Linked DNA regions of Oryzias latipes. The protein of the gene in region 2 purifies or fractionates together with the protein of the main gene of each other region. This does not show direct contact. Links are inferred from orthologs where the notes say so. Each region holds a gene or a part of one and is shown on either strand. Other genes may lie near its edges.

Region 1 (4,101 bases), on a different chromosome or scaffold from region 2:
ACAAATGTAAAGCAACAGAAAAAGGGTCCAACCGTTTTTATTGTTAAAAAATTTAAGACAGCTGAAAACACCTTCTAGATTCTTTTCAGTGTCTTTTAATGCGGTTTTGTTTTTTTCAACATTTCAGAGCAATGTCATACTTGTAGCCATATGCTTGGAGCTCCTTCCTTCACCTCCTTAACCTGAACTGCAGACAGCCTTACTTACAGACATTATTAAACTTTTTCTTTCTTCACAAACGCTGCAGAGGAAGAATCTGGAATAAAAAAAAGGAGAAAAAGATCTTTGCTAATCAACAAACCCTATTATCTCCCTATTACTTCAGGTTGATTTTTTTTAAAGTCTAATAAATTATTGGACAAGATATTTTGAAAATAACACAATTTTAAAAAATGTCTAATAATATGTTTTTTTATTTTGAAAATGAACATATGATCTTATACTGATACAAAAATAAATAAAAACAATTAGTTGCACTTTCCATTTATCATTTACTTTTTTAGGATCACTCAATCTATGATTGTCAATTGGAAAACATTTTTTTAACGTTACACATGCTGTACAAAGTAATCTTCAGTTGTGCAGATGTTTTTTCATGCATCTTATGTCACTGACACAAACCCCATAAAGATTTTTGAACATTTGTGTACATAAGCTGAAGGTAGTTTCTACTTTTTAAATGAAACCTGTTAGTTTCTCAGCATCAGAACTCCAAAACACCAAATTCCATCTTTTATTTGCCAACATTTTACAAAAACAGGCATTGAAACATTCTTGTTGACCAACATGTTTACATCAATCATCATCCCACCACATCTTGTTTCTATCTGCAGCTTTCCTGTTTTCCAGGTTACTTTTCAGTGATGTCCGTACTCTAGTTCCAGATGTGGATTTTTCTTTAGCACCAACTATTCTGTCTCCACCAGGCTCCCTTTTCGACTGGTCGGGGCTCATAAATGTCCTTTTCTCGTGTGTTTTTTTAAACTTTAGTGGCCTGTCAGCATGCTCTCTCCATCCTTGATTTGTAAAACCTCTGGTTGTCGTATTTGTTCGCAAAGGTTTTGTCTGCTGTTGGTGTAAACCATCGTGCTTTCTCTCAGGCACAAACGTTAAAGCTTCCTCCCATTTCCCAGTCATCTTAATAGAAAGCATGATACGGATCATCTGGTCCAGAGTCAAATTTTTGGCTCCAGTTTCCCAGTGAAGAAACTCATCCAGAGGTAAGCGTGCTGTGGCCAGCTTTAGGCGCTTGGCGTTGGCCAGGGACAGCCCTGGCTGGATGGAACGGTCCACCAAGGCTCCGATGATGTAGATCTTGGAGTGGTCAAAGGAGTGCAGAACGTTAGGGGAGTCTGCAGTGAGATAGACCAGTTGTTCTTTGGGGAACAGTTCCACATAGTGGCGTTCAGTGTTGGTGACGAGCAGGCGATCCCAAACTTCTGCACTGTACCGTTTGATCAACTCCTGGTGGTAAGGTCCGTCTGGCTGCAGGTTGCAGAAGTGGAGGTGAAAAGGGTCGATGGCGCGCCGATTCCACCCTTCCACCTCCAGCAGCTGGGACACAGTGTTCTCGATCTCTCGCCGAGACATGTTGGACTCGTAGCTGAAGTCGAACACAAGTGGTTGGCCAAACAGCATGGCCTGGGCGCTTCGCCAAGCAAACACTCTGTCAAAAGAATGTCCCCAAAACTTGAGGAAAAGCGAGTTTGGGATTTGGTTGTTCTCCTGATCAGACCCTTCCTCTGCACCGCCTCTATTCTCTTTCATTGTTGCTTCTTTTTCTGCTCTCTTCTGTGCCTGCTTTTCTTTGCGGGACAGTTTGTAGCCCTCCCTGATAGCCAGGTACTTTAGGTACTTCTTTCTGGAGGACTTAGTCGTGAGCTCGGACAAGGTTTGAAGCTCGTCTTCGGTCATTTCTTGAGGCACAAGCTTACCTGCTTGTCGCCACATTGACACAAGTTCACGAGTTGCCTCCAGGGAAGAACTGTTCTTACAATCATCTCCATTTTCATCCAGACTCCCATCGTTACTTCCTTCCAAACCATCATCAACTTTTTGCTCCTGGTATTTAGCTTGGGATCTCATGACCACCTTCCATTGGTCCAAATCTAGTGGTTCTGCTTGCTCAGATTTATCTTCTTTGGTTTGGATAAGATCTTTCTCCTTAGGATGTCCCGAACAGAGGCGGCGACAGGATATTAATTGTACTCCATCGCAGGTGAGAGGCAAGAATCTGCGCACTTGACTCCTGGGTGTCCCTACTTGACAGCCAATCCGTAATCCATTACAGCCTTTGCTGAATAAATGTCGAAGCATTTTAAATGAATCACCTCACGTTATCCTTTCTTGAAAGGCACAACCGGAATACATCCACGCTGCATGAAAGGAAATACGGATCAATAGTCTTTAAGTTTCAAAGCTCATTTTTACGTTAATAAGACTTGTAGCATCGTAGAATATCTAAAGAAAATAGAGAATATTACCAATGATGATCCAACGTGTGTCAGTGTACGAGATTTTTCATATCGGGTGGAAGGTCACGTTGTTTCAGGGTGTCGCACTGTAATGTGTCGTATTTGTTTCCAAACGGAAGCTTTTCGGTCCTGAACAACAGTTGATGATGTAATTTCCGCTAACTTTTCGCGACGAAAGTCACGAAGCTAACACATCAGCCCGCAAAATGAGTTTGTTTTTGCCTAAATTAACAACCAAAAAGGACATTGATGATGTTATCAAAGGGGTGGCTGAAAAAGTCGTTGTTCTGCGATTTGGGAGAGACGAAGACTCGGTTTGTTTGCAGCTGGATGAGATTGTAAGCGACAAGAAGTAAAGTTTAAAATGCCGTTTTCGATAAATGTTGTTGTCTGTTCAGTATTGATTTTCTTTTTCTGTCTTGATTTTCTTTTAGTTATCGAAAACTGCTCACGACTTGAGCAACATGGCTTCCATTTATATAATAGATGTAGACAAAGCGCTGATATACACAAGATATTTCGACATTAGTTACATTCCTTCAACTGTTTTCTTTTTCAACGGGCAGCACATGAAAGTTGACTATGGGTGAGTCTACGTTTATCTGCCATTTGATTCTTTTACTTCATTATTTTACTATTTTATTTAGCATTACAAGGGCACTGCAAACAATGCAGCCTTATAATACAGATATTATATATCATTAACCTATTTTTTAAACATTTAACTTTAATTTGTTTTAAATTATTATTATTATTGTTGTTATTATTATTATAAACCGTATCAGTCAGTCCACTTTTTTTTACTGGCCAAAACCCAACAAGAGCCGCAAACCCCCACCTTATTGTTAAGAAAAAAGCACTGTATGTATGTTTTTGTGACCATCAAGCCATTCATTTATAAAACTTAGCTTTTAAATATTTAAAAGAATTAAAGAATAACAGCATTATTGTTATTTTTTTATGCTAAAATGTTTTTATCTTTTTGAATGTAGAAATCCGTACATAAAAGTTCCATTCAAAATAAAATACCCCCTGTGTCAAATAAGGTCTTCCGACTGCAACAGTTTTACTTAAATTAGAAATGTAAGAAAGCCAGGTCAATTATTACATTTTCTATCATTAGGATTTTGGTATGGCTTCATCCTTTCTCTCCTTTACTTCTGAAAATAAACATGACAATATCCTTAAAAAAACTACGCATGTGTAAACCTTTTGAACTTAGCCTCAGTAGCAACAGGACTGTTGTTTAGCAGAAGGTAATAATTTTGGTTTATTTTTTTTTTAAATTATGAACAGCTCTAACAGTATATTAAACCCTTTATCACTATTTTGTTCACTTATTTGAGATCTTTGAACTATGGGGAGTGGAAAAGCACATGAGATCTCTGGATTTTAGTGTATTGTTGCAGTGGTACAAAAACAGTATTTTACCAAAAGAAAATCCCCTTAGTTTATAAATAAAATGACAACATTTAGATAATCTATTACTTGTTCAAAGCTTTTTCTCATTTCTTTTTCCCGAAGTGCCACAAAAGAGGGATTAAAGAGCCTCCGGCTGTAATAATAGCTAAGCAATTACAAGTTTTGATAATGTAGAACACTCAGTTTCAGACTAGTGGTTTTATGA
Region 2 (4,613 bases):
CACTAACCAGGTGCAATTGTAACAACTCTGATGCCCATAGGTGCCAGATCTCGAGCTATGGGAAGCGTCATTCCCACGATGCCGCCTTTTGATGCAGAATACGCTGCTTGTCCCACCTGAAAGAGAAACCGAGAAATGAAGCAGCTTATCTGAAAGAAGGCTGAACTTTAAAGCGTTGGTTCTGTGAATGTACCTGTCCGTCAAAAGCTGCCACGCTAGCAGTGTTGACGATGCAGCCTCTGTGTCCGTCTGCGTCCGGCTGGTTCTTCCCCATCTCCCCCACAGCCAGGCGGATCACGTTAAAGGTTCCTGCTATGTTCACCTGTCAGGACAGACGCAGAGCAGCGTGAGGCGTGATCTGAAACCCACATGTCTGTGTTTCCTTTTTCTGCTCGGCTCACGTTGATAACACGCTGGAAGTCCTCCAGACTGTGAGGGACGTCCTTCTTGAAATTGTATGTTTTGACCGCCACGGCGATGCCAGCACAGTTAACTGCAAGGTCCAACTTCCCGAACTTCTCTTTGGCCAGAGACACGGCTGATCGCACGTCTGCTTCTGACGTGACCTGGAAAAGGCAAACCATTCATGTCTTTAAAGGGTTCCAATTTTTAGGCACAATGGAGCCAAAGTTAGAACCAACATTAAACCTATGACTGCCCTCTAGTGGACGGAGAGGACATTACAGCAGAGACTTTTTTTCTTTTCTTTTTTCTGTCATGTAACCCTTGTGCTGTCCTAGGCACTTTAACATTGGGGGGTGGGTCATCTGGACCCCAGAAGACAGTGCTCTGAACCTTTTTTCTTCAATGATTTGTGATCTTCACTGGTGTCCATGGATTACATGAAATCTTTCCACCTTTATCCACCTTTGTCATGGTAGGGAGAACACGTCAATGTAAGGGTGGGGTCATCTAAGATAGCACAAGGGTTAAGCACAAATCTCTAATTTTTTTCTTTATGTTTACTAAAATATTGAATTTAGATTTCCTTAAAACAAACAGACATTGAAGAAGGGAGTTCCAGCTTTTCAGCTTATCATAGGATAGCAGAAGGGTTAAACATTATGAACTTTAGCTTTAATTTTGAATAAATGTGTGCTGCAGTTACACTGAACTGCTATTTTCTTACTATGTCAATTTACAGCCAATCTGCCAGATCTGACATATGGAAGAGTTTAAAATGCAAATTATGTTGAACTGTTTGTTCACACTAAAACTAAAGTGACAGACAGACCTGAACAAAAAGTAACATTTCCTAATGAGAGCATGTCAACCAACAGAACATGTTGTGACCGGATCTCAGAGGAAGACTCACGTCTGTCGGAGCGAAGGCACAGCGCTCCCCCAGGCTGGCCGCCACGGCCTCCCCATCAGAGGAAGGAAGGTCCACGATGACGGCAGACGCCCCGCTCTGCACCAGGCGCTCCACTGTGGCCCGACCCAAACCAGAGGCGCCGCCCGTAACCAGGCCAACCATGCCCTACCAAACACAGACAGACTTCAATTCTTCAATGGGATGAGTCAAGGGAGAGAACTGAGCAACTCTTTTTAAATGTCTGTACCTTCCACCATTTGAGAACGGACGTTTAAAAAATTAATTTGTATTTAAATCAAATGTGTTTAATAACAAGTAGAAAAAAATTAACATTAATAAATTAAAAAAGATCGAGTATTTTGGCAGTGATGCCCAGAAACGCTGACTTTTTAAAGCCCAAAGATATTGGTTTTTGATCAAAAATACATATTTGTTCAATGGGGAAAAAAGTATATTAGACACAGATCCTGCAGGTTGTCCCACTTAAACAGATGAGAGGTTTGTAATGTTTATCATAGATGCACTTCAACTGTGAGACAGAGTGGAAAAAAGAAAACTCACTGAATCTCATCAAATTGTTTTTGAGGAATGTTTGTATAAAAGCTGCAGGAAATGTGTATTTAGTCATTAAAAAATCCTCTCCATACTTTGCAATGTAACCCTGGTTTAACGACTGAGTCCAAATGTTTCCAGTAAGTCTTCACCAGGAATACTAACACCGCAGGTGCTACTTTGGTCCTTTCTCCCATCCGGATCTTCTCAAGAGCTGGGATGTTTTGCAGATGCTGCTGGAGGTCATAGACTTTGAACTCCCTCCATGGTTTCTCTATTAGACTCAGGACTGACTAGGCCACTCCAGAACATTAAAATACTATTATGTAACCCCTGGTTTTCCGGGTGATGCGTTTGGGATCATATGGTGAAAGATTCATCCTCAATCCTCTTTTTATATTTTACATTCTGTCTCTAACAGGTAAAGTGTTTGTGTGGTGAACATTACAGACGTTTCTCAGCCTTTTAAGTGGGACAAGTGTTTTGTTTTTGCCCCACTGTAAATAAAAGAATACTGATCTGTATTTGTCTTTTAAAAATAATAGTAACAATAATAATAATTACAGAATCAGGCAAAAGCAACATCAGAAAATCAACAAATCGTTATTGTTATATGTTTGTTTTTGGATTGATACATAGTAAACACAATCTTATCTTTATTTGCATTTTTCGCCCTTTGACGTAGATAATCCTATTCCCATTTGTAAAGGGCTTAAAGTCTTTAGGGAGACAATTATTTACTCGAACTGCATCATCATTATCATGTTAACACAAAATGTCATAAAATTATGTAAATGGTGTACAGAAGTCCATAAAGTCTTTTTTTTTTACTTGGGTAAGCATTAATAATGGAGAAGTCATTAGATTTAAATCAAACCCTCAGCTTTGTCGACCTTTTGAACGACCTCTGTTCTGCAGAGTCCAGCTATGAGGTTCATCACTGAGCTTCATGTTAGCTTCCCTGTCTGTCTGTCGAACTTCTGGACTCCACAGAAAACAAGATGGCGAATGGAAATAAATGCTTCAAACTAACAAACTAGTCCGCGTTAGGCTTAAATCTTCATTTCATTGCCCTGAAATGTGTTCATGTAAATGACGCCACGAGAAAAGAGAAGCAAATCTGTGGCTCTTTCTTACCTTCACACACCGAATGTTCGCCATGTTTGCTGTCCCGAGAGGTGACGTCACACCGAAGATCGTATATGTGAAAGATCCGTTCTTTGTCTACCATTTGCTAACTTGTCTTTTTTTTTTACCACATGTCCCCTGCTGTCATTATTTTGTGTTAAACATTAAAATCATTGTCATTGCTTTGTTTTGGATGAACTGGTCAATATGTTCTTTAAATGTGTTAATCCTCAAAGTTTTTTCTTTAATCCGTTCTTAAAGAAAACCAGTTCCACCTGAGTGATTGTGGTTACTTTGCAGTCAGACCCTTTAACCCAAATCAATGTATGCAAAATACACGATTTTTGTACTTTATGTTTATTGAAAAGTTGAAAAAAAACATCGACTGCCAACAAAGACATTAAATATTTAAAAAAAAAATCAAAATAAAATGTTATACTAATACTACTAAGACAGTACAAAATGGACGGAATTAATAAATTGTGTTAAAATTGCAAGGCTATTTAAAAATAAACGTATAATCAGTGTGAGAGCTCTTAGATTTTCCATCTTTGTGCCAGAAAAACCTCTGCCCTAGAACTTCCACTTGAACCAATCAGTGATTAGCTTTTAAGGACACGCCCCTCCCTATAAAAACGCATCATCCAATTAAAACTGTTTTGAGAGGTCAAATGAGGAGACCAACCGAAGCCTCCTTGATTTAAACTGCGATAAACCATTTTTTTAAAGCATTGAACGGTTTCCTAACAAATACACACATTTTCAAGATACATTCCCTCATTTTATTGTCATTTTTGAAGCAAAATATAAGTGTATCTATAAAATCTTATATTTCGTTTTAAGTTTCTTTAAAAAAAAAAGTTGCATCAGTCTGTCACTATGTTCTCTTTGTCCTTGGAAGTCCTAAAATGCTACTATAAATAAAACGTCCTTTTGTTATAGTGAAAAAGCAGGATGGTACAAGCAGGCTTATTTTTTTACTTTTCAAAACAAAAATTTAAATATAAATTCTAAATACTATTTGGCATGTGAATCTGCAATTTAAGCTTTGCAATTCTTATGAGTTTTATTGTTTCACAGCACAATACTGTCTTTGAAAAAAAGCTTTGCTTAAAAAAAAATAAAACCAGTAATGCATAAATATGTTATTAAAATACACAGCATTTTACCTCTAAAAGCTGGGAGAGAAAATCTCAGACATTTTTCAAGAAAATAAGGAGACATCAGTGATGGTTACTCAGTTTTATTCCTAAATATACAATATCCCACACCCAACCAACTACTTCTTTTTTTCAAACACATCTTCTCTAGCTCACACAAACGTTCTTTGTCGTTTCTTTTTTAAAAACTTGTAACTGTCAATTTTAAAGCTCAAAATGGACAAGCAGGTTGTTTTTGTCTGAACAGAACCTATTAAACGTTTACAGAACAAATAGGTCATTCATTGGAAAAAAAAAGGGCACGCGTAACAACAGCAAACTTAAGAGTAGGAAAATAAATCCCCAAAAACTAATTTCCAGTTGATGTAATCAGGAAGTAGAATGTAAGTCATCTGCATTCTTGTAGAAGGTGGAGATTTGGTGGCCTTGAGAAAGACAGTAGGCTGTATAGTTATCTC

Evidence for each region.
Region 1: the proteins of hsd17b10 (region 2) and trmt10c purify together in Homo sapiens (co-immunoprecipitation; 3 studies listed by BioGRID and IntAct, counting the BioPlex papers as one, with this or other methods). This does not show direct contact. The link is inferred for Oryzias latipes from reciprocal best matches to the Homo sapiens genes HSD17B10 and TRMT10C.

Annotation. Positions count from the first base shown.
Region 1 is NC_019861.2:16,612,667-16,616,767, forward strand, and holds trmt10c (tRNA methyltransferase 10 homolog C), read right to left. Parts: upstream 2,594-4,101; 5' UTR 2,484-2,593; exon of another isoform or gene 2,376-2,483; 5' UTR 2,317-2,375; coding exon 796-2,316; 3' UTR 506-795; downstream 1-505. Other genes in the region: txnl4b (thioredoxin-like protein 4B), read left to right, coding at 2,681-2,812, 2,909-3,060. UniProt on the Homo sapiens protein: Mitochondrial tRNA N(1)-methyltransferase involved in mitochondrial tRNA maturation. Component of mitochondrial ribonuclease P, a complex composed of TRMT10C/MRPP1, HSD17B10/MRPP2 and PRORP/MRPP3, which cleaves tRNA molecules in their 5'-ends.
Region 2 is NC_019865.2:26,393,746-26,398,358, reverse strand, and holds the start of hsd17b10 (3-hydroxyacyl-CoA dehydrogenase type-2), read right to left. Parts: upstream 3,106-4,613; 5' UTR 3,029-3,105; coding exon 3,005-3,028; intron 1,481-3,004; coding exon 1,316-1,480; intron 567-1,315; coding exon 402-566; intron 323-401; coding exon 194-322; intron 117-193; coding exon 8-116; intron 1-7. UniProt on the Homo sapiens protein: Mitochondrial dehydrogenase involved in pathways of fatty acid, branched-chain amino acid and steroid metabolism. Acts as (S)-3-hydroxyacyl-CoA dehydrogenase in mitochondrial fatty acid beta-oxidation, a major degradation pathway of fatty acids.